4 linked regions of the Lonchura striata genome follow. The protein of the gene in region 1 interacts with the protein of each later gene in a pairwise test. Links are inferred from orthologs where the notes say so. Each region holds a gene or a part of one and is shown in the gene's direction. Other genes may lie near its edges. The genes, in order: CDC5L, SFR1, SH3BP5 and SPTBN1.

What was found.
Region 2: the proteins of CDC5L (region 1) and SFR1 interact in a two-hybrid assay, tested with the Homo sapiens proteins (2 studies listed by BioGRID and IntAct). The link is inferred for Lonchura striata from reciprocal best matches to the Homo sapiens genes CDC5L and SFR1.
Region 3: the proteins of CDC5L (region 1) and SH3BP5 interact in a two-hybrid assay, tested with the Homo sapiens proteins (2 studies listed by BioGRID and IntAct). The link is inferred for Lonchura striata from reciprocal best matches to the Homo sapiens genes CDC5L and SH3BP5.
Region 4: the proteins of CDC5L (region 1) and SPTBN1 interact in binary tests that used the Homo sapiens proteins (3 or more experiments, as listed by UniProt). The link is inferred for Lonchura striata from reciprocal best matches to the Homo sapiens genes CDC5L and SPTBN1.

The regions. Positions count from the first base shown.
Region 1 is NC_134605.1:109,085,667-109,093,230, reverse strand, and holds the start of CDC5L (cell division cycle 5-like protein), read left to right. Parts: upstream 1-3,996; 5' UTR 3,997-4,289; coding exon 4,290-4,334; intron 4,335-7,252; coding exon 7,253-7,356; intron 7,357-7,564.
Region 2 is NC_134609.1:21,116,038-21,123,635, forward strand, and holds the start of SFR1 (swi5-dependent recombination DNA repair protein 1 homolog), read left to right. Parts: upstream 1-3,999; 5' UTR 4,000-4,357; intron 4,358-5,804; 5' UTR 5,805-5,824; coding exon 5,825-5,920; intron 5,921-6,996; coding exon 6,997-7,392; intron 7,393-7,529; coding exon 7,530-7,598. UniProt on the Homo sapiens protein: Component of the SWI5-SFR1 complex, a complex required for double-strand break repair via homologous recombination. Acts as a transcriptional modulator for ESR1.
Region 3 is NC_134603.1:114,406,843-114,414,826, reverse strand, and holds the start of SH3BP5 (SH3 domain-binding protein 5), read left to right. Parts: upstream 1-4,726; 5' UTR 4,727-4,742; coding exon 4,743-4,823; intron 4,824-7,104; coding exon 7,105-7,167; intron 7,168-7,984. UniProt on the Homo sapiens protein: Functions as a guanine nucleotide exchange factor (GEF) with specificity for RAB11A and RAB25. Inhibits the auto- and transphosphorylation activity of BTK. Plays a negative regulatory role in BTK-related cytoplasmic signaling in B-cells.
Region 4 is NC_134605.1:27,475,844-27,483,401, reverse strand, and holds the start of SPTBN1 (spectrin beta chain, non-erythrocytic 1), read left to right. Parts: upstream 1-4,341; 5' UTR 4,342-4,517; intron 4,518-4,523; exon of another isoform or gene 4,524-4,640; intron 4,641-4,726; exon of another isoform or gene 4,727-4,852; intron 4,853-5,065; exon of another isoform or gene 5,066-5,193; intron 5,194-5,391; exon of another isoform or gene 5,392-5,667; intron 5,668-7,558. UniProt on the Homo sapiens protein: Fodrin, which seems to be involved in secretion, interacts with calmodulin in a calcium-dependent manner and is thus candidate for the calcium-dependent movement of the cytoskeleton at the membrane.

The DNA.
Region 1 (7,564 bases):
TTCAGTAGAGGTCAGTTATTTTGGCCAGTGTTCATTTTTGTTTAAGGAGTTATTCTGCACCACTTATTTTCTTGTAAAAATTTAGTAAGAAAAACTCTTTACTAACTGAAAGAATGTGTAACGGGAGGGAAGGAAAAACATATTTTGTAGTAATAACTTTTCATGTGAAAACTATTGGTGTATCTGGAGGCTAAATGCTACCTCCCATCTGCTGAAAGTTGCCTCCTTTACTCCCAGGTGATTTTGCAATACTTGTAAGAGGAAAAAAATAGTATCTCTCCAAATTACAGAAACAAAATATGCATGTCCTCACTGGGTAATTGTGACATTAAAATGTTTTACATGTATCTGTATGTATAAGATGCTTATTAAGCTGTTGTCTGTAATTTTGATAATTTTTTGAGTAATCTGGCAGAAATGGTAATGTCCAGAAACATCTATTTTATGATACTGGGAATCTTTAAATCTTCAATTTTATTTGAATGTCCAATGTTAATCTAGTATGAAATGCCTTACCTTTTCTCAGGTTGGTAGTTACTGTGTTGGTTGTTATTGTTAAATTATATGCTTTTCAAATAACTTCAGTTAGCAGTTGCTGTTTAGTTTCATTAAAAACCTTAGCAGTATCTGAAACTAAAATTATTTTAAGAACTTTACTCTTAGTCTAAAATACCGTGTATAAGAGCTAGTACACTACACAGCAGGTGGTCCAGTGTATGGTGAACCCAGATGGATGCTGCTTCCAATTTATATTCAAATCTAGACAAATCTTTGTTTGTTTTGGAGTTACCCAGTGCTAGGAACTCTTGAGTGTGGTTAAGTGCTTTTATTAACAGTGTGTTATCCCCTTGTGTGAGGAAATAAAACAGCAAAGGCCTGGTGCAAACTGTCCCAATGCTACAGCTCAGTCCATGGAGCAGCAGAACAAACCTGTGGTTTAATTTAGAGAGAATGTAAGTATGGGATTCAGTGCCTTTTTTTTTTTTTTCTGCTTCTGGATGTGTGTCTTTCTGTAGAAATACAGATAATATCTTGTAGAGGCTTTCTGGTATCATAGGAGACAGGTTGGGAAGGGCTGTCCAGAGATGCAGTGGAGTTCCCTTCTTGTCAGATACTGAAAAGCCATCTGGATGTAATCCTGGACAGCCAGCTCTGGGTGTCCGGGATTACAGAATTCTGTAGTAGAATGTGTGTATATTTCCATGCATGTCTATACATACATTGATAAACTTAGGAATTGGCATAAAAACTCAAGCTTCACAACTTGTAAAGGTTGAAAATCTGGTGGTGTTATTGCATTATGGGGATCATTCCCCTTCAAAAGACACGTGTGCCCTTGAGAATTCTCAATCCCTTTTTATTCTTCTTTACTAGTATACATATGCATAGTTTCACCATAGGTTTATGTATATTCATTCTACTGATTTTGCATTACTCTTGCAGCTAGTTACCCTTGCAGCTTTTTTTTTAATCAGAAAGTACAGAAAGAACTCTTGGGTGAGTCTGCCTTGTCTGTTTCAAAGTTCGAGGAGCCTCTCTTATCTCTTCAGTTGGAAATTCGCATTCTTTCTCCTCAGCTGGGGCAGTTTTTACTAGTGCTGCAGAGCTACCAGACTAAACAGCATATTTTACTTATGCTAGCAAGCTACTAATAATTTCAAGTGGCACATTTTACCCGAATCCAAATGGATTTCTAGCATGTTAAATTTTTTCTCTATTTCACTTATATATTCTGAATTGCAAATATCTGTCAAGCATACTAAATATTGTAAATGAGAACAGCTACAGCATTCTTTCCAAATACATGAATAACCCTTGTAGCATAATATCTGTGAATCTTGCCTGTGTGTTAGGCTTCTCCTGTAGATTAATTTCCTGAATAGGGCATCTTCTAGGGTCTTGTCTTCCAGAACCCGTCCAGCCATTCTGCAATTTGGAAGGCAATTTTCCAATAATGAAACTCATGGACAGATTTATTTAAGGCCATATCAGCAAAGATGTTCAAGTGATCCAGTTCTTTGCAGCTTCAGTAAAGTCAGACAAGTATCTGTGCTTGAACCATGGTGGTTACAGATAAGTGATTTAGACCTTGGAGCCACCTAATCCAGTTGTGAGAAAGAATGTTATCCTGTATTAAGAAAGAAAAGCATTTCTAGGAAATCTTAATGATTACTCAAACTTGGAGATGTTTTTACATGTGTTACATTACAATTCTGATCATTTATTTGAAAAGAGCAGTACAAAGAGAAAACAAAAATACTGAAGGAATTGTAAGCCTCTATATCAGATGAGACTAGAAGGGCTAAATACGATTGAACACTGTTGAAAAGCATAGTGTACAATGATGATCAAAAGAGCCTGGTTTAGGTGGATAACTGCAGTAAATTTTTGAAAGAGTTTGTAAATCTGAGTTACTTCGTTTTAAGTAATAACAAGAAGGTATTTTTAGTTAAGAGATTGATCTTATAAAAGTTAATTATTCCCAGTCACTGCCTCTAATAAAAATAAGCACTTCAATGACTCCTGATGTTGCTTTCTGTTCCTTATGTGCTGCATTGGATTTTTGGGGTTTCAAAGGTATTCTCAGTCTGCTAAGTCAATGAAATTTACAGGTTGAGGCATATTCAGTTGCAAAGAAGACATGGGCTGTTGTTGGTAGTTTTTTTTGGTTTGGGTTTTTTTTTTTTTTTTTTTTGGTAGCTAGAAGTGTAGTATTTTTTATTCCTGCAGTTTAAACAAAAATCAAAGCCTTTCCTAAATCACAAGTTTTCTATTTAAACCAAAAAAGTTTCATAATTTGCTCCATTAATATATCCTGAATTTGGACAAAACAGGGAAATATAACAAGACAAATTGAGTAAAAGGCTGTCATTTTACCTGCTGTGCATCTGCTAATTAAATGAATACAAGTTAAACTGGAGGTGATGTAAATGAACAATAGTGAGTCAGATCTGTATGGTGTGGTGGTGCATCCTCCTGTTTGGGCCACACTGTGGTCTCAGAAATGCTCGTTAGGGCTTGACCTTGACAAGCTGAGCCGAGCTCCTCTTGAGCTTATCCAAAACACTGTCTGCTCCCAGGAACTTGTGTCAGCTGAAGTGCTCCGTGGGTTTTAAGAGCCTTTGGGAACTTATTTTTCTTATCCAAATAACCACCCAGGTGGAACAACGTTTTTGGTTTTGAACTTTCAGAGAAAGTTACCAATCTGAGTTGCAGCCAGGGTGGAAAATTGCTATGAGCAAAGTCAAGTCTGTTGTGACTCTCTAAGCAGTGGTATTTGAGAGCCTCTGAGCCCTCCAGACTGCAGCAGGCTGGGAGCAGCACCTCCCTCTGAGTGTGGCTTTCTCTGAGCCACACAGCTCCAGGCTGGAGATGCCTGGAGGGCCACAGCTGAGGGACAGTGACAGATCCTGAGCCGAGATCCCTACTCCTTGAGACTCAACCCTTCACCTGCTGAGAGTGACATGAGTACCTCACTATGAAAATTCCCCAAATTCAGGTATGTACCTTGTATACATTTCCTTTAGTGTGTATGTGAGTGTTAACATGCAAATGCACCATCAATGTTGCTCTCTTGTAGAATCATAGAATAGTTTTGCATCGCCACCTTAAAGATTATCTCATTCTACCCCTTGCCATGGGCATGGACAACTTCCACGATCCCAGGCTGCTCCAAGCCCTGTCCAACCTGGCCTTGAACACCACCAGGGATGGGGCAGCCACAGCTTCTCTGGGCAGCCTTTGCCAAGGCCTCACCACCCTCACAACCAAGAAGTTATTAATTTCAGGAAAAAGCATGGGTCTATTTCCTGAAATTAATAAAATACCTTGGGAACGCTGGGGAAATGTGATTTCCTTCCACTGTCCCTTTCCTCCCTCACCTGCGTCCCTTGACGAGGCAATTTGAAGAGTTTAATGACGGCCGGGCTCCTCCGCCGTGTGCTCCTCCGGCCGGCAGGGGGCGCTAGCGCGAAGGGCCGCCTCGGGCCACGCGGGGGCTGCGCATGCGCGGCGCGGCCGGACCCGCTTCCCTGGAGGAGTAGCGGCCTCACTTCCATTGCAAAATCCGCCAGTCCCGCTTCCCTGGGAAAGCCGCCCGACCCGCTCCCCGCTTTTCTGACAGAGCAGCTTTTTTGACAGCTGGCCTCGCTTCCCTCGCCCTCGGCACCCGCCGCCGCTGAGGGCGACCGTGCGCCGTCTCGGCCGGCCCCGCTGACGCCAGTGGCGCTTCCGCTCCCTCTCCATTCTCTCGCTCCAGGGGTCCGTCCCCGCCTCCATTCGCCGCCAAGATGCCGCGGATTATGATTAAAGGCGGCGTGTGGCGGAACACCGAGGTGAGACTCGGCGGGGTTCGAGCCCTCGTCCCCCTCAGGGCCGGGCAGGTGGGGGGGGGACCCTCGCTGGTGCGCAGGCGCGGGAGGGGCGGGTGTCGTGGTGCGCCTGCGCGGGGGCTCAGTGTTGGGGGTGCCGCGGTGGGGTCGGGGCTGTGCAGCGCTGTGCCCGGACATCAGCGGGTCTGGGCTCGGCAGGGGCCAGCGCAGGGAAGGGAACGGAGCACAGGGCTCACGAGGAACAGCTGAGGGAGCTGGACGGACTCAGCCTGCAGAAAAGGAGGCTCAGAGATGGATCTTCTGCCTCTCCACCACTCCCCGACAGGAGGGCGCAGCGGGATGGGGGTCAGGCTCTGCTCCCAGGCAACAGGACAAGAGGACATGGCCTCAAAGTGCACCAGGAGAGGTTTAGGTTGGACGTTAGGAAGAATTCTTCACAGGAAAGGGTGATTGAGTATTGGAATGAGCTGCCCAGGGAGCTGATGGAGTCACTGTCTCTGAAGGTTAAGTTCTTCCAGTTTAAGGAAAGACTGGATGTGGCACTGAGTGCTGTGGTCTCGTTGACATGGTGGTGATAAGATGTTGATTAAGCTCAGTGATCTGAGAGGCCTTTTCCAACCTAACCGATTCTGTGATCCCTGGCTCTCTGTTGGGCTGCATTCCCCAGTAACCTGTGCCTTGTTCCTGCTGCTTCAGTGGGCAAAGGTCACGAGTTCACATTGGTGCTGTTTTTCCCTCGGGCTGTTCACCAGATTGGGAAGCTCAGCAATGTGTGTGTTGTGTCCTTATGCCCCAGAGAACTGTTCCCACTGCTACTGGAGAGGAAGCAGGGGCTGTGCAGTGCTTGGAGATGTCCCGCTCGCAGGCTAGAGTGTGACTTGTGCTGCATAGGCACGTTCCTTGTGCTCTGTGGGAATGAAGCAGCAGGAATCTCTTGCCCTTAAAGATATTTAAAAATACGAAAATGGCAAAGGCAGAGTCATACAAGTTTTAGGATTGGAAAAAGCTTAAGAACACCAAGTGGCCACCATCAACCCAGCACCACCACCATGTACACCATTTAACCTGTCCTTAAATGCTACATCTACATGGGTTTTTAATCAGTTCCAGGAATGGTGACTCCAGTATTGCCCTGAGCAGCCTGTCACCATTTCCATGGGAAGAAAAAAAACATCCTAATAACTAATCTAAACCCCTGGTGCAGCTTCAGTCTGTTTCTTGTCAATGTGTGTGGGCTCTTCATCTGCAGCCCCAGGAATCCTGTGCACAGAAATTACTGTTCCAAAAAAGAACAATCCCCTCCAATTTTGCTGTCACAAGCTTTCAGAACCACAAGTGGTCATGAAAAAGAAATCAATAACATGGGAAATCAAGGATGTCAGTTTTATTAGATGCATGTTTAAAGCAAAAGGATGTACCTAGCACTGTAAAATACAGAATTCTCACTGCATAGTGTGAGCACCAGGCATGTACGTGGTTCCAGGAAGCAGTGAGGAAAAAGTAATAGAAGATAAAATGTGCTGTATGTGCTTTTAAACACCTGTGCTATATCAGTGATGTGCCAGGAAGCAGCTAAATTTGGGATCAGCAGAGGACAGGAAAATTCATATCTTCACCCCATTCTTCCATACTTGATACATTTTGGTGAGGAGTGGTGCATTAAATGGAATCACAGAATATCCTGGGTGGGAAGGGACCCACGAGGACCATCAAGTCTGGCTCCTGCACACAACATCCCCAGCAATCCCACCCTGTGCCTGAGAGCATTGTCCAAATGCTGCTTGAACTCTGCCAGGCTTAAGGCTGTGGCTACTGCCCTGAGGAGCTGTTTCAGTGGCCAAATAGATCCTCAGTTCACCAGGCTTTGTGTACCAGAGATAAAAGAGGTGTTGGATTTTTTTTTTAACATTTTGATTATACATACAGCATTAAAGACAGAGAAAGGGAAATCAGGTGATACCAAATCATTCATAAAATGACCCATTACATGCAAAAAAAGCCTGTTAATGTCACCAGTACAGCTCCTGTGTGCCATAGAGCACCAAGTAAGTTTAAAAAAAAAACACACAGGAGAGGATTTATTATTTATGTCAGAACAGTAGTCACATGAATTGTTGCCTGCAGCAGCTCAAGCCAGATCAAGAGCTGATCATAAGCGCACAGTTAAAGCTGTTGTTCTCTGGGTGGTGTCAGTGGAGATAGTGTGAGACTCACTGAACATTCACTGGGTACAGGAGAGGGACATCTGTGGTTGACAGGGCTGTAAGAACAGCTTTCATGTATTTAAAATACCACTTCCTCTGAATAAACCAGAAATAATGAACCCATCTATCAAGGAAGGGAGAGAAGGATTGATGGATGGATGGACCGAGAATTGGCACTTCTGGCTTGTGATCAAACTCAGTGCACATTTTGTTGTATATGAACAACCTGGCTCCCAAGCCGATCTATTCCATTTTTATTCCAATTGCATTAAAATATGAAAAATAGATAATTTTATGGTATTGTTTAAACAAGGCAGCCAGAGATGCCTGCCAATTCTACTTTTTTTTTCGTATTGTGATGTCTTACCAAACACTTCCTTACCTCTGTTGCTGTCCTTCAGTGAAGACATACAGAGCCTTTAAACACCAGTGCATTAGAGAGCATTGAAAATAATAATTTGGGAAATTCTGTTAGGTATATGAAGTTTGGAACAATAATTTATGTGTCTATTTTATTTAATTTTACAGATTTCATTGACCTTTGAAATACAAATCCTTATTTTTCTTGAGAATAAAATGGAACAGAAGTAGCAGTGTTACGCTGTGTTATGCTGCTTCCTCTGGGACAGCCCATGAAATTTACCATGTTCTCCTTTGCTTGAGCTCAGACTTTCTGTTTTGCAGTTCATAAGGGTATTTATTTATGGTTTTTTCAAGGATGAAATTCTGAAAGCAGCTGTTATGAAATATGGCAAAAACCAGTGGTCTCGAATTGCCTCATTATTGCACAGGAAATCAGCAAAGCAGTGCAAAGCCAGATGGTAAGTGAGAGGTGCTGTGCATGGGAATATGACCTTCATAATTAGTGGAAATTTAGGAAAAAATGTAACCACAGACTAGCTTATGTCCACAGACCAACAACAGTTTTAACACTGTTTGATTTTATCATGGAAACTTCAAATTCTTATTGCTTGAAAGTAGTTGAATAAAAGTAGCCAGATGTTCTGTTTGACAGTGACTGCAGTGTTG
Region 2 (7,598 bases), on another chromosome or scaffold:
ATCCCACAGACACAGAAATAAGAGGCAATTGTATGCCAACCCCTTTTATTAGCACCGTGCCTCACCCCCTTGGTTATTCACACATGCAGCAGTGAGAACTACACTGCTCATCTCACCTGGCTCTTACATTATCTTTTGTAATGGCAAATTGCAGTGCCCCTCAGCTACAATAAATCCCGGAAGGTTTTATTTTCAAGACAGCTACCTCAAAAATTGCAAGCCAGAGATATAAAGCAGACAAAGGCAAAAAAAAAAAAAATTACTTTTGGTGTAGTTTATCCTGATGTCATTCTAGAGACTTCACTTTTAGTTACTGGGCACTTGCACCATTATCAGAGCAGAATCCATCTCCCAAGGACAGGTTTTGTTGTAGTAAACTGGTTTTACTCCAGCTGGTTTATAAAGTCCTACCCTTGGTGTATTTACACGGCCATTAGCAAGTCAGAACACCTTTCAGAGAAGTGAATTGCAGACAGCCAAATCACAGCCCTAGGCTGATGCAGAAGTGGGTAGGGTTTTTAAACTTTCTGCAGCAGTTAGTGTTTAGGCACATAAAAGCACCCCACCCTCGTGCCCCAGGCAAGAGAGAATACTCAGACATTGCAGAGTGTACTTCATGCATCAGGATACATCGCTTGGCTTTAAACGAGGTCAACAGATTTCAGAAAAATGAGAGAAGGGGGTAATACATATATGCCTTAAAACAGTATGCTGACTAACATCCCAGATACTCAGTGGCAATGTTTAGGGGGAAAAGGCCTGGTTGTTGTGCCCAGCAAACTGTTAAATGGAAGTTTTATGATGCTCCTGACACTCTGGAAGACAAGAACCCATAAAGCTTAAACTGGAGTTTCTAAACTCAGAGCCAGTATCCTTTTTTATTACTTTCCATTATGACTTTGCTACTACAGATGATGCCCACAGAGGAATTAAAACATGTAATTGTCCTGAGAACACTGCTGTGTCAGCCCCAGTGCTCCAGTGCTGTTCTGGTACCACAAGATTATTGAGAGGGTACATGGATAATATCTTTCACTGTGTAGCCAAACTGGTGTACACTTAGAAGAAAAAATAATCTGATAACTAAAATGTCAATGCAGAAATGCCAAAGAAAATAGAATCAAGGAACACATTTTGGTTCCTCGGGGAAACTAATATCTTTGAAGGGAAGTGGTATGTTCAGCAAATAGAGATCAATAATTTTATTACCCAGTGCACAGTTTCTTACACATTTTTTTCAATTATTTTGCTTACCCCAAACTCTTCTGATCACAAGAGGAAGCAAAGAAATCAAACAACAGCATTGCAGTGCTTAATAAACACTATTGCAATGAATGTGCTACTGTGTGCACATACTGGTAATCTTAACTTAACAGCAAGAGAAACACTCTGCAGTGTGCCATAAACATGCCAGGATCAATGACACATGGATAATCTGTTTTCCTCAAGGAAAACAGATGAGCAGTTTTTGAGAGGAAGTTTTCAGTCTGACTCTGGTTTGCCAGTTGTAGAAAACATAATATCCATCACTATTGTGTTTCTGCAATAAACATATTGGATAGTCACTGCATAGTGCTTGATGGCACTCTAGTTCCCAGCTCTGCAGGAGCTCCAGCCAAGTGCTGGGCGAGTCATGTTTTTGCAGTACTGTGTAAACACCAGGTAAATTCATAGGAAAATGGAGTAAACACAGCTAAACAACACTAACCTGAACAAGATCTTTTTCTAGAGTCATTGCCCATCAATGAGTACATGACAATATTTCCTTTCCTCTACTCTAGATGCAGCACACTAAACTCACACACCCAACACATGGCACCATTGTTCCAAATTCCCAGTCCCAAACAATCTGTAATCTCACTTGGGGTGGGGCATACTGGCGTTGCTCTAATTAAGTACAATGATAATGCACAGGATGACTTTTTCATGTGTTATGTTCATGTAAAATCTTACTGGAATCTCACCTGGCAAATGATCTAAAATCTCAAGCTTTCTGTTGTTCTTGTGCAACTCATCTGTTAGCATGTCTGTACAACAGAGCATGAGTAATTTAAAGTAGGGACCATCCTTGAGATTGAAGGAAATACCCTGTGGTCTTGGAGACATGCCATCACAAAGCTCCAGAGCATCCAACCCTCTTGATAAATTTGTAGCACTTTTGCTGTTGCACTCAGGAGTCCATTTTTAACATATTTAAAAATTAAAATATCTGCAACATTAAATTAGCTGAAGATTTAAAAAAAAAACAAACCTCAAAACCCAAAAAAGGGGCAGATTTAAAAAATGCTTTCAAACTGCCTCAACACTTGGGGTATTGTTCAGCAGGGTTTTTTTGGTAGATGGTTACAAAACATAGTACAACACCACATAATGTAAATTCCCACATTTGCTATGAAAATATTATTTCTGAATCAATTTCACCCACAGATAAAATCTTATACAAGGTGTATAAGTTATATAAGTTGTATAACTTATACAAGTTGTCAGATTTCCAAAAACAACTTGTAGATGGGCTTTGAATGCTTTGATACCTTTTACTGTAGGAGAGTAAAAGGTTGCTATCATTCCTGTCAAATACTCTTTGAAGTGTGTGGATCTATGAAAATTCATGGTCAAAACTGCAGCAACTGCTAACACGTTATCACACCTACAACACTCAGTGCTTACGCATCTCTTACCTCCAAATTGTCTCTGGTCTCAATAGAGATGGGAGTTACACAAGGTGAAGAGAAAATAGTGTCCTTATCTGTAGCAGGAACCAGGCAGGAAATTAATGCAGTTCTGACACAGAAGCTAAGGGCATGATCCAGCGAGAGCATGTGGGTGCCTGTACCCCACGTGCTGCTCTCAGCACAGCTGCGTGAGGCATCAATGCACAGCTCGGGGCAGTTCAGCTCTGGGCAGTGCTGGAGGAACCACTGGGACATCATCCCTAAGGGCTGGGAGCTGTTGTTGTTATGGCTTCCTCAGCTCATTCTGTCAGTTCTGACAGTTACAGCTGAAAAACGTTTTGTACAAATCAGTTTTGAGAGAAGTAAATCCACATGGGGAAGCCAGGTGTACAGCTGACAGCAACAGGAAAACCACTCTTCAGCAGTGCCTTTGAGTGTAAGGGAACTCTCCAATCCTGAACTGCACCGTGCAGCCACAGCTGGGATTGCTCCTTGTACAGTCACAATCTCCCTATTTCTCCAGTCAAATGTCTTAATTTTCTCTTCTTTCCCACAACCATGACAGTGCTGCTCAGGTCACACGTCTCCCAGTGAGTCCTTCAGTTACACTTTTTCCCCTTATGTGAGGAGATGGTTTCTGGGATAAAGGCTTTTGCAGCTCGAGGTGGAGAGTTGTGGCTCCCTTGGCTGTGCTGTGCTATCCGTAGTGGGGAGCACTGCACACTGAGGCAGACCGACCGCCCTCCCTGGCACAGGACACTTGCAGGGACATTTCTTATCGTTTCTTATCCCTGGCAGCTAGGCCAGGGAAGGTTTAGGTTGGTCACTACGAAAAATTTCCGCATAGGAATTGTGATTAGAATTGGATCAGACTGCACACGTAGATCCTGAAGTCACCACCCCTGGAAATGCATAAGACTGAACACAGCACTTGATGCCAGGGTCTAGCTGACATAGTGGCGCCGGGTCATAGGCTGGATTCGACGATCTTAAAGAACTTTCCAGCCTGATTCTGTGAGGTGACACCAGGCCTTGATCCAGACCCCAGCCATGGCGTGGCCGGCCCACGCTGGCCTAAGGGACACAGCACCGCCTGGCATGCCTAGATGCAACAGGAAAGTCTACGAGGTCCTCGGAGACGCCTCGCGTTTCCCGGGAGCGGGAGCGGGACCTCCCTCAGGCTCCGCGCCCGCCCCTCAGCCCCAAGCGCCGCCCGGGCACGCGGGGCGCGCAGGCGCGGCCGCCCCTGCCCGGCGCGGGAGCTGAGGGGGCAGAGCGGGCACAGCGGGCAGAAGCGCCGCTCCGCCCCGTCCTTCCTCCTCCGCCCCGTCCTTCCTCCTCCGCCCGGTCCTGAGGGCTCTGTGCTCCCCGAGGGGCCTCCCTGCGCTCCTCAGCCCCGAGGGCCGCTGCTGTGGCGGCGATTTTGGGGTGCCGCGCCTCAGAACCAGCTCCACGGGTCTGTGGCCCTGCTTATGGGCTGCACGGTCTTCGTCCTGCTTCTCTGCGGGGGGAAAAGTAGCAAGGCAAAAGTTTGAGTGTTAATAGTATTGTGTTAATAGAGTGTTTAAAAGTATTGAGCCTTTTGTTATTGAGACAGTAAAAAGAGTACGTGCCTTTATATAACGTAGCTATAAGCAGGAAAACAAAGGACGTAGTTACAGACGTACCCAAAGTGCAAAAGTCAAGTAAGTACTGAAAAGTAAAATTGTTTTTTCCCCTTCTAATTCAAATTTTCTTTGCTTGCTGGACACAGTTTTTTGTGCGGTGAACAGCATTACTGGTTGAGAATGCCAAGGATTCTTAGCCGAAGATACAGGAAAAGGATTTTAAGCGTGCAGGAGATCTGTGAATATGCTGCCAAGTAACAGCATTAGCAAACGACTGGAGAAAGTATTTGTTATGGTCATTTAAAAGCGAATTTGCATTAGAAAGTAAAGGCAGAGAATCATAGGATTGCTTGGGGTTTTTAAAGTTATCTCTTAGGCTTAAAATTATTTTGCTCCTTGGAAAATTCTTACTATCTTTCATATATATATACTATATATAGTATCTTTGATATATATATATATACTATATATACTATCTTTGATATATATATACTATATCTTTGATATACAGTATACATAAGAATGTTGCTTTTTCTAGGCTCTTCCTTACAAAAAGAAATAATAGTATTAAACTTCCATTATATTTAATGGATGCTGTGGTTTCCTGTTTAATTGATAGATTGCTAAAATACCAAATTAACTAGACTCCTTACTAAGGTCTGGGTTTTTATAATAGAGTACCATATGTTCAGTTTTGAACATCTGGGGGGAATGTTGACTTCTAAGATAAATGAGGCCCTCCATCCTTTGGTATCAAGCCCAGGGTTGCTGGGCTATTAAGGCTTTGGCATTCTGAAGCTTTAGCAGTTTTCATCTGTGAGGAGGAAGCCCCTTGTGCCAGCCCTGTGTTGCCTAGTTGTAATTCGCAGGATTTTATTCTTGAGAGGCTTCTGTTTCAAAACTGGTAATTGCAATTTGCAGGTGAGTGGAGGTATAACTGTTGATTTTCCAGCTGCATTCTGGTCATTAGTAGGTGGTTCACAATTGCTAAATGAAATTAAACATTGCCAAATCGATTTGAAGTTGGTTCGTGCTGGGAGGTGTGACTTAACCATTTTAATTAAGGCACCTTTCTGAGTGAGCTTGGGATTTTTCCTGTTAATCAAAACTTCCACCTGTGTGAGTAATTACTTTTTAAAGCAGGATCCCCAGAAGGATCACATGAGACTGGATACCCAATTATATTGTTCTATAGAAAAGATTGTTTATATTTGTGGACAACAAAAATCCTTCTGGCTCCACAGAGCTTTTGGAGCAAGGGGAAGAATAATATATACAATGGATTGTGAATGACTTCATGGCAGTTAGTTGTGTCATGGATCCTCTCAAAGAAAAGCTGTTCACAAAGCAAGATGCTACTTAGCACATGAAACAGTTGTGTAACTTAGCAGATGTCCTTTTTGAACATGCCAATTAGAAAAGAAGCCTTAAAATTTCATATTAGAGCTTTTTACTAATTTCTGCAGCCACATGGCTCATTATAACAGGTGACAATGACACCATAATTCATTCTGTCATTTAACAGAGACAGCTATTTATCTCGAGATGGAAGAGTCAGTGCTGGATAAATTGCCATCTTTGTGCAATACTCCAAAGGATTCTGGGCCAGCACCTGCACAGGGCACTAGTTCAGGGAAACAGGTATGAAAACTTCCTACTTTTCCAATAATGTGATTGTTCATAGTAACAAAATGCTGGTGAAATCATCGAGGAGTCAGAAGTCACTGAGATGCTGCTTGCTGGAAGGCTAGAGACAGGCACCTTATACCTCTAGCTACAAGGCTGTGCAGGTAATAATGTGCCTGGTGTACTTTGCTCTGAAAATGCAGATGCTTGCTGTGTGTACAAAGTGATGGAGCAAGTGATGGCCTGTTAAGAAATTTAAATACTATATAGGGTGTGTGATGGATCTGTCATCGGTTTTCTCAAATCCTGGTTTTCTGGGTTGCTGTGCATGCAGGATGACTTTCTGTGACTTCTGCCTGCAGTGGAACAAAGTACAATGCTTTCAGTTTGTGTATTATCCATAGTGCTGAGCTCTGCTTTGGTCTTATCCTGGGATGCGAAATGGTGATACTGCAGGCTTGGTTTGAGAGTATTCTGTAACTAATTCCCCCCTCTTGTATTTTAGTGCATTTCTATAAATAAAAATGTTAGACACAGATTATAAAAAAAATAGTTATTTTGAAGAAAAAAAAATGTTTTTAGATGCTTGTAAAGTATCTCAAAGCATGAACAGGTCAAAATTATACAGGTATTTCTAATATGTTCTAGAATACAGATGTTTTGTACTAGTTCTAATGCAGATGAATGGGATGGAACAGCAGGAAAGTAACCCTTACCTCCATTAAACTAGAGGGGAAATTGGTAGAATAAAATTATCCAAGTTGAAATATGCTGTATTTCTTTTACACAAACACTAGATGAGTAAGTTTGCCTCAACAGAATACAAGATTTTGTCCAAGAAAATGTGGAGCTACACCTTTCCGTATCTTGCAGCTGTGTGTGCAAATACAAGTGAAAGGAAGATGTTAAATTTGTTCAAGTTTTTGAAGGCTATACAGACAATTAGGAAGTCTGGCTTTACAATGATCGTTAAATATATTACATATTCTATGTAAATAATAATGATTGGTAAACGGTGATTTGAGATTTGATAAAAATTTAAGAATATTCTGACCACCTGGCTTTTCTGGGTTTATTTATTATTTTTTCAGCAAATGAGTGCAGCTCTGAGGGAACGATTAAGGAAAACAAGACGTTCATTTAATGCCAATTTTACAGTGGCAAAGCGGCTCAAAATAGACATTGAAGAAAAAGACACTAAAGACATTGCTGGTGCTGACACAGGGTGCTTGCCAGAGGCCAGTACAGACTGTTCCAGCTTACAAGATAGTTCTGAAAACTTGGAAGGAAATGGCACTGGACATACATGTTTCAAAAGTCCCTCACAGGAGAGTGATCCCTGTGGATCAGCAGAGAATTCGGATGTGCTGCAGGTTGATCTTGGTCAGCAACAGTCCCTTGAAGAGAAAGTAAAGCTGGAGAAACAAGTGCAAGAGAAGGAAGAGCTGCTTCGTAGACTCAGACTGGTGAAGATGTATCGATCCAAGGTGAGGCTTTACTTACTGCTTTTTTTGTGTGGTGGTTGTGTATTGTCTCAGTTTAAGGTATTTTATAAGAATATCTGCAGGGTATCAAAACCCCCTTAGGTCAGCAGATGACTTTTTTTTGTTTGTCCCAATTTCAGAACAACCTGTCTGAGCTGCAGGCTTTGATAGCGAAGTGGAGAAGCAGCACCCAGCTGATGCTGTATGAG
Region 3 (7,984 bases), on another chromosome or scaffold:
GGTATGGAAGCGTGAAAAATTGCTTGAGAAATAAGCCGGGGGAAGTTTTGATTCTGACCACTTTGTGTTTAATACCCTGCATATGCATCCAAGAAATTTAAAATCTTCAATAAATGCAGTGCCTATCTTCCATAAAAATTTTGTGCTTAGCCTCCTATAAAAGATTAAGTGATAGAGGCCCAGATCTTCAAATGTACTATAACTGTGGGTGAGATCCCACTTAATGTTTATAAATGTTTCCAACATGTGCAGTAGACTTCTGAAAACCAGGAAAGTATACCAGATTTGAACACTGGCAGAGCAATGTCTTTGCTGCAGTTTGGAAGATAGAGGTGGTGGCTCTGTGTTTAACTGAGACATTCCCTGAGTTAAGCTAATTTCTGGTGTAACATTGCAAAAGTCAGTGTAGTAAACTGGTCTTCAGGGTTAATTCAGCTAAGAAGCTACGCAACAGATTTTATGCTCATAAATGTATTTTGGGGACTGTGTTACTTCTCAGAATTGGACTGTTTATACTTCTGTGTTCATTTGTTGGTAAATTATTTAAAAGTGAATTGCAACAGCACTTCAACATTTGAAACCATTTGAAAGTTAGCCTCTAGCACCATCATCAATAGAAGCAGAAGAACTTTTCAGAGCAGAACTGTTTCTCCAGTCCCCGTGAGGAGAGGGGCAGTATTCTGTAAGCAGGGTTCTGTCTCTTAGGCTGTTTTCTCCTTGAACATTTCCATGAGCTGAAATGTGTTTTCAGTAATCAAATATGCATTAATTAGTCCTGAACTCTGCTTATTTGCTATCTATGTTCAGAAAGACAAGTTACATGTTTATGAGGAAGGAAATACAACTTTTGATTTGTATTTTAGGCTCTTGCCTCTAGTGCTGGGGCAGAAGCAAGCCTTGAGGGCAAGTATGAGCAGAAATTTGAATGTAAGATGAGATTTTGAAAAAAAAATCTTCCTTAAAATCCATTCAGAACCTAGCATTATCAAATATATGTAAAATTACACTCTCCATTCCCTTTGAATTTTATCCTTAAATTAACTGTAGTCATTAGGATGTTTCCTCAGGCGATTCTTCACTGATGCATTCTTCTTCCCAGCTGATTTTACTTAAAATGCAAGTTCTAGTTCCCCAATGGCTATTCAGTAATGTAATACCGAATCTACAAGCCATCTTCCAGAATGAGGAAGAGAATTCTTCCCTGTATTCCTTCCTCAAAGCATTTCAATCTTTCTCTTGCCAAATCTTTCCCTTGCCTGTACACTGAGGATTTCTGTGGGACCAGATAACGTGATTATGTAGCAGCTTCCCCCAAAAGCAGAGTTGTAGCAGTTCTCTCAGCCAGAACATCACCCTTGCCTAGGGATTTCTGTCCAGGGCATGATGTTAACGGTAAAGTTTCCACCCTAAAAACCTACCGTAATGCCACAAGGCAGAGGTGTTGCCTGGTACATTTAAATTAGTTGCTGAAGCAGCTTGGATCATGGCTTTTCCTGCATCAGAACCTCTCCTTGTGCTTTTTAGATGAGCTTTATCCTTTGCAGCATAGCTCATGTTAAGTTGCAGCCCAGCCTGACAAGTCTGGACTAATTCTCTGCTGTGGCCACTCTGGAATCCCATTAGTGAAAGAGCAAGCGGTTTCTTCCTGCCTTGACTTCAGAGTGCTTTGTTCAAATATTGAATACTTGGGACTAGGGTTTTGAAATATTGATACAGGAGAAAGTACAGACTGTCTTGGTCAGGCCTCGTGCAAGCTTTGCTCAGATGCCTTGGCGCACGCAGGGCCTGTGGGGGAAGGAAAAGGTCAGCATGACTGGCTTTCTTGGCTGGGGTGGGGCTGGGGAGCAGTCTGGCCTTTAACAGATTGTGTAGGAGGGATTTGCTGGGATGAGATCACTCATGATTTGGCAAAAATAATACCCAAATGCCATCTACTGCAGTTCACTTCTTGCACAGGACTGACCTAAGCGGGGCATAGAACCACAGAATGGTTTGGGCTGGAAGGGACCTGAAAGATCTAGATTAGCTCGATCCCTCTGTCATGGGCAACAATGGCTTCCATTAGACCAGGTTTGCTCAAAGCCCCATCCAGCTTGGCCTTGAACACTGCCAGGGATGGGGCATCCATAACTTCTCTGGTCAACCAGTGCCAGTGCCTCACTTGCCCCACAGTAAAGAACTTCATCTGATATGCCATTCCAGGTGGGCTCTCACCAGAGTGGATCAGAGCAGGAGAATCACCTCCCTCACCTGCTGCTTGTGCTTCTCTTGATGCAGCCCAGGATGTGGTTGGCTTTCTAGGGTTGCAGCACACATTCCTCAGTCACGTTGAGCTTCTTGTCAACCAACACTCTCATGTCCTTCTCTTCAGGGCTGCTCTCAGTACTTTCTCCAACGAGCCTGTGTTTTTGCTTAGGATGCCCCAACCCAGGTGCAGCAGCTTGCACTTGGCCTTGTTAACTTTCAGAGGTTGGCCCAGACCCACCTCTCACATCTGTCAAGGTCCCTCTAGATGAGGTCCCCTCCCTCCAACCTGTCAATCACACCACACAGCTTGGTGTCACCAACAATCCTGTGTAGAGCATGCCCGTGTGTGAGGCCTGCCTATGTGATATGTAAGTTTGTTCCTCGGGTATTTCTCAAGTCCTGCTGCCCTTTGCATGGGACAGCAGTTTCAGCAAAAACCATTCTGTGGCTAAGAGAAGAAAATGAACATGTAAATAATAGCCTTGAGTCTTTTATTGATCTTTTTTGTACTGAATAGTCTCCCATTTCCCTGTTCCGTCAAATCTTTTCCTCAGGCCACTTTTCTGTTAATGCCTTAATGATGTCTGCAGTAATGACAGATGTGCATTTTTCACTGATTTTATTATATCCAGATCTTCCCAGCATACTGGCTTGATATAAAATGATCTCAATGTCCTCAGGGCTCTGTGAGAGATTTCAGATTCATGGGAAAAGGGGCTTGTGTATACACACCATCTCTTGCACAGTGCTAAGCTCTGCAGGCAGCTCTCCCAGCTTTCTAAATCCACTGTGCAGCTAAGGAGAGAGACAGCTTGCTCTGCCTTGATGGTAGCAGATTGATGAGTTTGGCTGGAGGTTTTCGAGCTGCAACAATCACAGGGATTGTTACAGTGGTAATGGAAGAAGAGGGTCCTTTGTGCAAACATAACAAATATCTTTGGGAGAGCATGTGTGTGCAGGAGCACTTCTGTATCCCAAGCGGTGGGCAGTGCCTTTTGTGACATCACCATGGGTAAGCCTGTGCAGGATTTGGAGGAACAGGGCATAGCTGCAGTGAATTTTTTACATAGTCTTGTTTTTTAGAAAACAAAGGGGCAACAGCAGGACTATCCACATTAAGTCTTCCATGTGCAGCTTTGTGTTTTCTGTGCTGATGATGGGAGTGTTGACTATTTGACCAGTCTATAGTCTACAGTCTTGGCATGAGCACACCAGGGAAGAGAAATGCCAGGGCCCTGGGAACATCTGGCTGTATGTACACATCAGAATCCCCTAAAAGACAGCAGTAAGAGTAAACACTTGGCTTTGGCTAATTTGGTTTTTGGTTTGTTTTTATTTTTTTCCCTCCCTTTACATGATTTTTTCTGCTGTGAGCAGTGAAGATGTTGCAAACAACCCATCTGCGTTTTTGCAACACCTCCTCTGTTCCTTGATTATTTTAGTTTGTTGGTGTCACTTTGCATGTTTATACCATTTTCAAATGTTTATGTCACTCTCTTCCCATATTTTGTTTTTTATCCCCTCGGTTGCTTTATAGCATTTGGAAGAGCTTGACTGCTTTAGTTTTGCCTCCCTTTTAACCTTAGTTACCTTAGCAATGTTAATTTTTATCTTCTTATTTTAGCTCCTTATTTTTATCTTGTAAAGAGATATGAGATTCTTTTTCACCTTTAGTCTCACAAAGGAAGCTTCTTTCTTCACCACATCTAAATTTTCCATTTTTTATTACCTTTGGAGGATTTTTCAAACAAAAACATGAGGCTAAATTAATAATGTTACTTTAAAGGTGGAAATATATTCCTCATCTGTTCAAAATTACTTGTTATCCACCCCTGTGATTAGGCAGGCACTAATCTGAAGAACTCTGCTAGACATGGGCCATGCATGTACATAGTTCTTGTTCGAAGTTCCTTTTTACTGACAACAAAGGGATGTGTTTTCAGTATGTCTTTTTCTTCTGCATGCAGCAGGTACAATAGTTGCCCGCTTAGCTGCCACACTGTAGAAATCTGGGTTGCATTTGAATTTTCAAGGTTGTTGGAAGTGCCTTTAGTAATTTTTTTTTTCTCCCTTTCTCGCTTTATACATTTTTTTTTCCTCTCCATGGGCATGTCAGCCTCCAGCAGAGCTTGAAAAAGAGGAAAGAAGGAAAGAAGGGGAGGAAAAAATAAATTAAAAAAAGCCAGCAAGGTGTCCTTAGCGTTTCCCTGCACCTGGAACTACTCATCCTGGTTTCACGCAGCGCCGCTGCGGGGGGGACCAGGAATTAGCACGCCAGAAAAACGGGGCGTGAGGGAGGGTTAAAGAAAAAAAAAAAGAAAGAAAAAGAAGCGGGGGGGAAAAAAACGAAACCCCGCAATTTCGCCGTTTCCCTCGCTGCGCTGCGAAGGCACAAAGAGACGGGGGCGCTGTGGGGAGGGAGGGGTTCCCCGGAGGCGGGGCCGGGCGGCGGAGCCGGGCCCGGCAGCGGCGGCGCCGGCGGCAGCGGGGCCGCCATGGAGCCGGGCGGCCGCCGGGGCCGCCCCGCCGAGGAGCCGGCGCGGCCCGACGACGAGGAGGTGGACCCCCGCATCCAGGTGAGGGCCTGCCGCCGAGGGGCGGCTGCGTTTCTTAAAGTTCGTTTCAATGTGTGTGTTATGGCTGTGTGTAACAATGGTTGTGTCTTTTATTTCATTGGTTTTGCTGCGTATGTGCACGCATGCATACATACATATATACATGTGTGTGTATATATATATATATATACATATATATATATATACACACACATATATACATACAAACATGCATATATATATATATATGTGTGTGTGTGTATATATATATATATATATATATATATATATATATATAGATGTGTGTGTGTGTGTGTATATATATATATATATATATATATATATATATATATATATAAATTTTTTTTTTTTCTCCCGGAGTAGCCCCGGGTGTCTCTGTGCCCGCCGGGAGCGGGGGAAGCGCCCCCGGAGCGCCCCAGCCCTTTGTTACCCCGGGCATCGCTCCGGGCTCTGTTGGGCGTCCCTCCTTCTCCTCCTCCTGCTGAAATCCACCCCCCCTCCCCTTTTTAGTTTTGACCATGACAGCGTGACCTTGCTCGTGGAGCGCGGCTGGTGCTTAGAAATTCGTAAATGCGGGAAAATATAGGTTTTAAAATTTTATTTCATTATTTTTGTCATTATTTTTTTTATGTCTCGTAAGAAGGAGCTTTAGTGGAATATGGTGCTTCTTCTAGGTGAATGCCTTCTGCAATGCTTTTTATTCTTGCATGGTTTCTAAACAAAGCTTTTCTCCCCAAAATCGTGTCTCGACCAATAGTGTGGTGCAAACTTGAAGCACGCTGTGGTTCCTGAAATGAAATGTATTTTTAGGACTCTGCAGATTTATGGTTTTTGCCTCCAGCATTGCTGGTCCTGTTTGTCATGAATGAATATAACACGTGTGTACATTGCTGAGAGGATCCTTGGCGCAGGTCCCCGCGCGCTGTAATTGTCATTCTTTTCTCCATCGTGAGCATTTTGTTTTCCAGGGCTGTGCAGAGCCATTGCAAAATTCTCAAAACATGGTTACACAGAGCGAGGCCCTCAGCCAAAAGCTAGCCTGGTACTGCCCTGATTTTATGAGGCTGAGCTTGGTTGGTATCTATTGATCTAATTTCGGCCTTAGTTTCTTCAGCTTGCAACACGTTTCCACATATACGATTTGTGAATTGTTGGCAAAACAATTGTTTTTGTTCAGTTTTCTGTTTGGTTTGAAAAACAGGCTGCTGTGCCTGCTTCCGCAGAGCCATGAGGTTTAGAGCCTTACAGTAAGAGACAATTAGGCAATTTTTGGATGGGTGTTTGTTTCAGACAACATGGACACCCAAATAGGTGTTTTCCAAGTCCTAGGAGTAAGGAAACGAAATCTGACCGCTGAGGCTAAGAGAGCTAAACTGTTGTAATTAATTCCTTTCTGGTTGTAACTGGAGTAATTCTTGTAGTCTAGTGGGAAACTGCTCAAGTGACAATCAATTTACAGCGTTCGGTTTGTACAGCAAAACATTTAATGGCGTGTTCTGTTACACCAGTTGACAATTAAATAATGTTTCAATTGGAGAACATTCCTGTTAAAAATCTTATAATCTCACATGAAGGAACATGTTGCTCAGATAAAGAAAGCTATCAGGTCTCCTCCTAAGGGTTGCTTTTTGAGATAAGAAAGACAGTAAGAATGAGCTTTATTTTTACACTAACTTCATTCATGCCAGCAGCACTTCTGCTACATATTTATTCAAGGTATTTAACACCTTTGTTTCTGCTGTTATGGGATCAAAATGTTGGCAGGAAGGCAAATTATGTGAACATAATTGTACATCCCCTGGACTGGTTGGGTTAATAAATGGTTTGCCAAAATCCAAAATAAAATGCCTCTCATGCGCCAAGATGTGTTTCTTATCAGTTCTGTCCTTTCACTGGGTGTCTCCTGTGATAGTACAAACTTTATGCTAATCTTTCAGCGTGGGTGTGTCTGTCTCCCCAGTACCTCACTGATACTGGCTATATTGATTAATGAGACAGAATACTGTACTTTGTATTTATTTGTAATAGAAAAGAAGTAGCCAGAATAGGAAATGTGTCGCCTTAACATAAAGCTATAGACCTTCTCTGATTATTTTTTCTTTTAAGTAGCAAAGGAGAAGACCACTGGCAAAGTTAAGCTGAACATCTCAAGGTTTCCTCTTTTCGCTAAATTCATTACCCAAAGCTCTTGTGAGCTTTCTGTGGGGATGCTGAATGAGCCTTCTCAGACGTGTTTTTTCACTTGATTTCTTACTATGCATCTGACTTTCTTTCCTTCTAGGGGGAGCTAGAAAAACTGAATCAATCTACAGATGATATCAATCGCAGAGAGACGGAGCTGGAGGTACAGAATTTATCCTTACATTTACCTTTTGTGCATGCTGGATTTTGTGAACAGAAGGACAGTGTTTTTGTGTAGGTTGCCTTCTGAATTTGTGCATCCTGAATGGTAATTTCACAGCAAGAGTCTGGTGATGATGTTTTTAAAGATATTAATTGACCTAACAGCTGAAAAGGTAGAGGTATGCTGACAGTGTAAAAACCCTGTGTGGAGAACCTCTCACACAGCCACTGCCAGAACTTATTTTTAGGTTTTGACACTAAGCTTAGAGAAGTTTTATTTTTACAAGTCGCTGTTTTGTGTTTGTTGATTATAGACAGGGAAAGTTATTTGGTTAAGAGGTTTTTGCCATACAACTATCTGATAGGATCTTCTCTTTGGGGTTTTTTTAGATTGTTATCTTTGCCTTTTTTGTCATCACTTCCTGAGCAAGGAAGGTGGTGAAGGAAAGTTGGAATAAAAGACTTCCTGGTTATACAGAGAGGTTTTCGGGAATACTTATAAATCTAATAGCAAGTTCTGAAGAAATTGTTTCTAAATCCCTAAATTTGAGCTTCATCTTGGTAATTATGTTGGAAGGCTCAACATTATTGATCTAATACTGAAGCAAAACGAACTATCCTATGTGTACATCTAAATTTTATTTTATTTGAAAAAAAAAGAAGATAAAGCCAGTGCAAGTACAAGATGAATATGTGCTTAAAAAGACTGGCATAAAATATGACTTGACATCCTAAATAATTTTGATATTGCAAAGTTTTGAATACTGTATTGAAACATTCTGAGATTGCAGTGAGGAACATACTATAAAAGTGCACCT
Region 4 (7,558 bases), about 82 Mb from region 1:
GAGAGAGCAGATGACTGCACCTGGATGAGGCTTCACTGATGTCAGACACATCTCTGCACATGGTCCAGGTGCATGGAACTGAACAAGGAAGCACAGACTCAGCAGTTAAAGCCCAGCATTACCAGAGCAAGGTAATCACCACAGAAAGCATTTAAAAATGTATTCATGCTGGTGGGTTCTTGGAGTATGTGCTTAACCTGACCTGAAATCTTCAGTTTCTGTAGAAAAAGTAAGGTTGTCAGGAAAATTAATAAAATCTGGGAGAGGGCTAAGAATTTAACTGTTTTTTCCTGTAGTAGTTAATGGATCGGCTGCACCCGACAACTGTGTTTTGTCAAATTACATGGGCTGATGTGTATTTTTCATAGAATCATAGAATGGTTTTGGTTGGAAATGACCTTAAAACCCATCCACTTCCATCCTCTGCCATGGCAGGGACATCTTCCACTATCCCAGGTTGCTTCAAGCCCTGTCCAACCTGGCCTTGGACATTTCCAGGGATGAAGCGGCCACAGTTTCTCTGGGCAACCTCTGCCAGGGCCTCACCACCTTCACAGAATTTCTCCCTAATATCTAATATAAAACTATTATCTTTCATATTAAAACCATTAAATTTCTAATTAGGTGAATTTCTGATGGATCTGGAGGAAATGGAGGAGTAAAACTGGTAAAACAGAAGGAAAGAGAATAATATTTGGCAACAAGGGGCAAAGTTTTTTGCATAGTTTTATGCAGGTTTTTATGGGACAGATAAATGCTGAGGATTTTGGTCAAATTTCCTCTCCAGTTCTCTTTGGGTGGGGAAACATTGCTGCACCAACACCTTTATGGCATTGAGCCTCAAACTACTGCACCACAAAAGGGGCTTTGAAAGGCCAAGAAACTTCCTGTGCAGTTGTAGACATCCTCTGTGATTTGATTTCTTCTGTGTGGAGCCCACAGGACACAAGAGCAGGTCCCAAGACATTTATTACATTTTTTAATGTACTGCCTTGAACACAATGGGAAGGTCTGTAGGGGATGTTGTGGTATGCTGGCCCCAAGGCCCCTGCCAACTCTCACTAATGCTTCCTGTCCTTCCACAGGGATTCCTGCCAGGACTCCTCTTGGCCACTGGAGATTGCTGTGATGCTGGCAGGGAGAGCAGGAAAGCCATCTTGTCTTCACACTGTCAGCATTTCCACTGCTGACTCCGGTGGCGGGGGAAGGAGACAGCAGCTGGCTGAGGCCAAGGCCAAACTTTTGTAAGTGCCCTGTGGTTGAGTCATTTTCCAGGGTTGGGGATGTTGGGCACATGAAGAAATAGGCCTGGAGCTCACGGGAGCTGATGGTGGAGAGAAAACGGCTGAGAATGGACGCTCTGGGGACAGGGTAGCCACAGAGAGTTGGGGAGCACTTAGAAAAATAAGACATTCTCAACAAAAGAGTATTACCAGACCTCTGATGTGCAGCCTGAGAGTTGAGTTACAAATGCTCTGCATGTCCCTGCTCTTTGTTTCTCCCAGTAGAGCCCCTTCCTGTATCACACACATTTCCCTGTGGCTACTGCATGGGGATACCTGGATGAGTGTTTATTCCCTGATGCAGAATTTTGGGCAGGTCAGCCTTCTGAGCTGGTCATAGAGAAAAGGCAAGCTAAGGATTGAGGGTCAGACACATTTATATTTCCAGTGGCTGTTGGGGAACAGGAATATCCCAGCAAATCCATTCTGGGGAATGCATTGCTGCAACGTGTTTCTGAAGTTAAGGGTGTAACCCTGAGCTGAGTGCAACCAAGGTGCTGAGGGGAAATAGGGTTCTGTGAGGAAATGTTTGTGAAGAGCAGCCATCCTGCTTCCAGACATGCTACACACAGAGAGCTGAGTTTTTCCTCTGAGCATAATCTTGCCCATCTTTGATTTTCCTCTCAAGAGCTTGGCCAAGTCTGCCACGAGACAAAGCTCCAGTCTGGATTTGTGCCTTGGAGCCCCACTGTGTGTCTGCAGCCAGCAGTTACAGGTGGAGGAAAGGTGTGTATGGTGGGGGGAATGGATCTCAGTCACGCTGGGAACCTGTGGGACTGGAACGGTCTGATAACAGGAGGCTTTTCCAGTCTAATGGAACAGTGAGGGAGTTTTTTATTACAATGTGAATTTCTTGGTATGCATTTTTATTGTGTTCTTGGAAATTGACACCATCCTTCAGTATTTTTTTTTTTTTTTGAGTTTTAGTATTGCCTTAACAATTGTGGCTCTTAATATCTCATCTAGATGTGCTGCTTTTGTATCTGCTTGGAAGTACCCTTTTACAAATTCAAATGTAGACCCTGGCAACATGGTTTAGTGGTGGCCTTGGCAGTGCTGTGTTAATGGTAGGACTCAAGGATCTTAGAAGATTTTTCCAACCTAAACAATTCTATGTTTCCAATTTTGATTCATTTTATTTTGAATTATGCATTATGTTATTTAAACTAGGATTTATTTTTAAATTATCTTTCAGAGAGGTTGAAATATGATTACCTGTGCAGTGTTTTCCCCTTGGTGAAGGTGTCAATATGCACATGGACCTATTTCTGTGGGATGAGCATCAAACAATATTGAGTGTGGTGCATTGGTAGATTTTTAAAGGAAAAAAGAAAAACAACTTAAATATTGCTTCATCTGTGAAGAAATGTGTTTGCCTGGGCAAAATATGTGAGGGAAAAAGCCTTGAGCTTCAGAGCCAAACTAACTACAAAGTAGCAGGGCTGAAGGGGAGTGACTTTGCCCAACATTGTTGCTGCCCCTTTCCACTTCATTTAACAACAGTTTCTGTCGTGGCCATTCATTCCAGTCCTTTCACTTTGATTAAAGGAGAGGGAATGTGAACGTCAGTGGGAACAACCTGTTTGTCTGACTGCCTTTAGTTACTGACATTAGGACGTGCTACTAGTTTACCTTTGTGAACATTCCCTGCTGAATTTTTGCCAGGCTGTAGGCTTTGGCTTTCTAACTCTGCAAGTAGAAGGTTCATGCTGAAAACACAAACAAATAGGTGCAGTAGTTTTTAAAATTAAATTAGCATCCTCTCATGTCAAACCTGGGAATGCTGCTGTGAACTATCAGCAGCAAAACACTTGTATCTGCCCTGTTCATTACTTTAAAAAGGAGAAAATGTCTGTCAGTAACTGGGATAACTGGTTGGAACCCACAGTGCCCCCTGCTATTCTGGTTCTTGCTTCTCCAGGCATTCATTCCTACCCAGTTATTTCCATGGGAATCCATGGCCCACCCATCTTTGAGCTATGGGGGCTAGCGAATCCTAAAATACACTGCATGCTCTTGCTCACTCCCAGACATTGCAGGCTTTTGTCCCTTCCAATTTGCTTGATGGGTATTAATAATTGAGGGAAGGGTGATTTTTTAGGATATTTCTTAACATCCTAGCATTTGAATATATTTTTAAAAATTTGTATCTATATACACACATTTTTACTGCATCCCCAAGGTCTGGATATGAACCAGCACAAGTGACAAGTATGAAAGTATGTTCTTAGATCTTATCAAGAATCTTGTCAGCTTCATGGTGACAGAATATTTTAAAGAGACTTTCTGAATACCAGAGGCCCAAGTTTATTGGCATCTCACTGGAAACTGGGAGGAGGATGCACTGCAGGAGCTGTAAGGAGGTAGCTCTGGCAGGGCAGCCTTGGAAACCAAAGGAAAACAAAATATTCAAAAGAGCCAGGCTGATAATTTTGACAGGCTGGAAATGAAGCAGTATTCCAGAGATTATGCCAGGAAGTGGATATTGGAAATTTTGGCAAAGCAGCTGAATGTGAAGGGGCAAGAACCTAGATGAGAGGGAGTTTAAGATATGCAGAGGAGAGGAACTCTAGACAGCAGTAAAATAGCAGTGAGTGTGGGGATGAAGAGTAGGAGAAAAAGGAATGATAAGCAAGAATCCAAATGAATCCAAGCATGGTTTATTTTTTTTTTTTTTAAATAAAAGACATGGATAGCATTGATCCATAGCTGCATTGAAAGTGAGAGGTGAGGGAGAGTGGACAGGAGGGAAGGAGCATGGGCATGAGGAGGGTGAGGACAGGGAGGCAAGCAGGGAGGCCAGGATTAGCAAAGGACACCTGAAGAAGCAGTGTCTGCCTCTGACCTTGGCTGTGGAAGAGGGGGAAGGAGGAAAGGTGCATTGGCTGTGGGACAGCAGTTTTCTTTGGAAAGACAGGCAAAATACTACCCAGGAAAAGAGGGAAAGTGTGGCACAAAGGCAGCTGGACCTAGGTCCCAGGGGTTGGGTTGCACTGGCAAAGAGAGGCTGTTTACGTGGGAAGGTGGCAGGACTGGAGCAGCAGGAGAGGATGACTGCAGTGGAGGAAGTCAAACCCGGGATGGGGTTTCCACTAGGAATGACAGAGCAGCGGGAGGGAGAGCAACACTAGAGCAAATGGATGCTGGGGGCGAGCCAATACTGTCTTTGTGACAGGAGAGAGTGTCAGAGGAGGAGGAGCAAGGAGGCTGGAGAGACCCAATAACGAAATAAATGTAAGAGAAGGGAAGGGGAGCCGGGAGTGGCTGGATAAAACCCACGGAGGGCTGCGAGCGAGGGCCGGCGGAGGGGGAAGACCCGGCGTGAGCACAGGGCAGGCCCAGCAGCAGCATTAGCAGGTGAGGATGCGGTGCGGGCTGGGGCCGTGCCGAGCCCCAGGCGCCGCAGGGCCGCCGCAGGGCAGGAGCGCGGGGCGGGGGCTCCTCCCGCGCCGTCCCCGCCCCCCGCTCCGCACCGCGCGGGGCACGCAGAGCTCACGCAGCGCCGCGCGGGGCTGCGGTACCGCCGGTCCCTCCGCACAGCGCGGAGCCGCCGCCGGGGCAGCGCCGAGGTAGGGCCGGGAGCGGGGCTGGGGGGCGGCCCCTCTTCCCGGGTGCGTGTGCGCAGCGCGGGCGGCGCCCGCAGCCTCCGCAGCCCCGATCGGCGCGGAGCGGGCTCGGCGCAGTCAGAGCCGCCCCGCCCTACCCTACCCTTCCCTACCCTACCCTACCCTACCCTACCCTGCGGCGGCCCCGGCCCGTCCCTGGGGGCAGCGGCGGCCGCCGCCCCTTTCCCTCCCTCCCCTTCCCCGCCCGCGGTGCCTCCTCCGCCGCGCAGCCGCACGCCCCGCGCGGTGCGGTGCGGAGAGCCCGGCTCGACTGCTGCTCCTGCGGTATTCCTTGCTAGACGGATGTAATTCCTCCTTTATTTTTCTTCGTCGGGGCGGGGCGCGGGGGGCGGCGCGGGGGTCGCGGCGCGCTGTCAGCCGGGCCCGCTGCGGGGCTTTGTGTGCGGGAGCGCCGCGCTGACCCCGCCGAGCTCCGGGTGCGGGGCTGCGGTCCGGGCGCGGCCATCGCCCGCTGCCGCGGGTGCCGCGGTGCCCGCAGTTAGCGGCACAATGTGTGGGCTTGGTTTGGTTGTCTCGGGGCTGGCTCTGGCTGTTAGGTGGGTATAGGCCTGATATAACAAAAAAAATATGGCAGACTTGTGCTATAGACTGTGAGACTGCAGCAGCTCTGAAAAACCCTTGTTCATGGCAACCGAGGCTGACGTTTCATTCAGTGGCTGATGTTTTTCCTTTTGGAGTGATGATACAGAACTAGAGTGAGCATTGAATTTGCGATGTTGATGTCTTGATCGTGAATGAAATAGCATTTTTGTTTAAAGGTGAGTAGTGATCTGTGTTTCTGCGTTGTGCTCTGCATTGTCCATAGATATAAATGCTAAATGTTCAAGATCAGGATTGCAAGGAGAGGGAATAAACACAAACTGTCAAGATCCGGAGCGTTTGGCTCATCCTTCAACCTTTATTGACAGGATACCAGCATTATGAAACCTGATTATTGAACAGTTTGGGAAAAGGGCTGGAATTCCCGCAGCCCAGCACCGTGCTGACAGGCATCTTGGGGAACAATGCTCCCCGGAGCCGGGGTTAGAGAGGCAGGGCAGGGAGAGGAATTTATTCCCAGAGATAGCAGCCGTGTGGAAATGTCAGGGGAGGCTGTGACTCCTCAGGCCATTGCAGGAAAGCTCCGCTGGAGGAAGGACTTGCATATGCTGAGAAGGCTCTGGAGGGAGAGACGGGAGTGCAAATGGAACGGGATAAGGGGCTGGGAAGGTGGGTGATGGCAGCAGATGTGCTATTTAAAGAATTGTTCTTATCCTTTGGCATTTCTTTATTTTTTCCCCTCTGTGTTTCTGGGGAGAACAGAAATGGCTGTACTGATGCCTCCATGACATAGCAGTGGTTGTAGGGATGTGAGGAAGGATGAGGGGCTGGCTCATGTGCCACAACTAGTGCTGAAGAGGCAAGAAAATAGGGAATATTTTGTTACTTCAAGCAGGAACATAAGGGAGAATGATGAATGTGGAATCGGGAGGTTCTTCTGGAACAGAACCCACTTTGGGTTTTTCTGTAATGCAGGTTAAGTGCAGCAAATGACACTCACTAAAGCAGGATGCAGCATTTTGGGATAAATAGGAACTTGCAGCAGGCATGTGGCAAAAAGCGTTAGAGATGCTGTTTCATCTCTGTGGTGGCACAGATCCTGCAGCTTTTGGAATTGCTGTGTGTTACTGAGCCCTGCCTGCACACAGGAGTGGGGCAGAGAGGGGCAAAACCCTCTTGCTGCATATATGGAGACCAGGGTACTGCTGTGTGCTGCTCCAACAGCCCCTGGAGAGGAGGAATACAAACAATTTAATGAAAGATGTTTTCTTTTTCCTTCATCATCTATAAAATGGAATCAGCTAAATACCCCCTTTATTGGATGGGCCTGGATTGCTCGTTTGCATTACGTCACCTGATTAAGGATTTATTTTTCATGTGGGTCAGTTACAGGATGAAATATTTGTAGTTGGATTGCCTGCAAAATAATTGTATTTCATTAGCAAGGAGTGCATGGACATCTTTCATGGAACGCAGAGGAGAAAGTCTGTTTATGCAGATGTTTAAGGGTCAGACTGCAAAAGTTATTTAGACTGTTAATCTCTATAGTCACCTAAATTCCTTAGTCATCTTATCTGGGTACAAGTGAACAAACAGCACAACAGTTTATCATTGCCCATTAACCATGAGTCAGCTACTAAATCCTGCCCAGGCTGGTGTCTGTGGCTACAGGCTTCCTGATAGCCCTTTCCCTAGGGTCTAGGAATACCTCTGGAAGTATTGGAGCCCCAGGGACCAGAGAGGTGACCTCTCAGGGCAAGGAGCCACTAGCTGCCCTCAGATCTCTCTGGCTCAGCTGAGGTTGTGCAGGAGAGCAGTGTAGGCTCTTTCTTGCGGTGCCTGGAAACTCCTGATGAGAGCAGGCCTGTGCTCCATGGTAGGAGCCATGGGCTTTCCTAGTGGACCAGCTCCTGCTGTGGGCTGCTCCTGTTCACAGCTGATGGAGCTGGGGAGTTTGCCAGCACGTTGGACCCTTACCTCTGCTGAGGCTCATGGCAGTTTTCCCAAGTGAAACCAGCAGGAATCTGGCCTAGAGGTGTGAAATGTGAAAATCCAGTTGCCTTGTCTTGCTTTAAACCTGAGAAACCATCTCATGTTGTTCTGACCAGA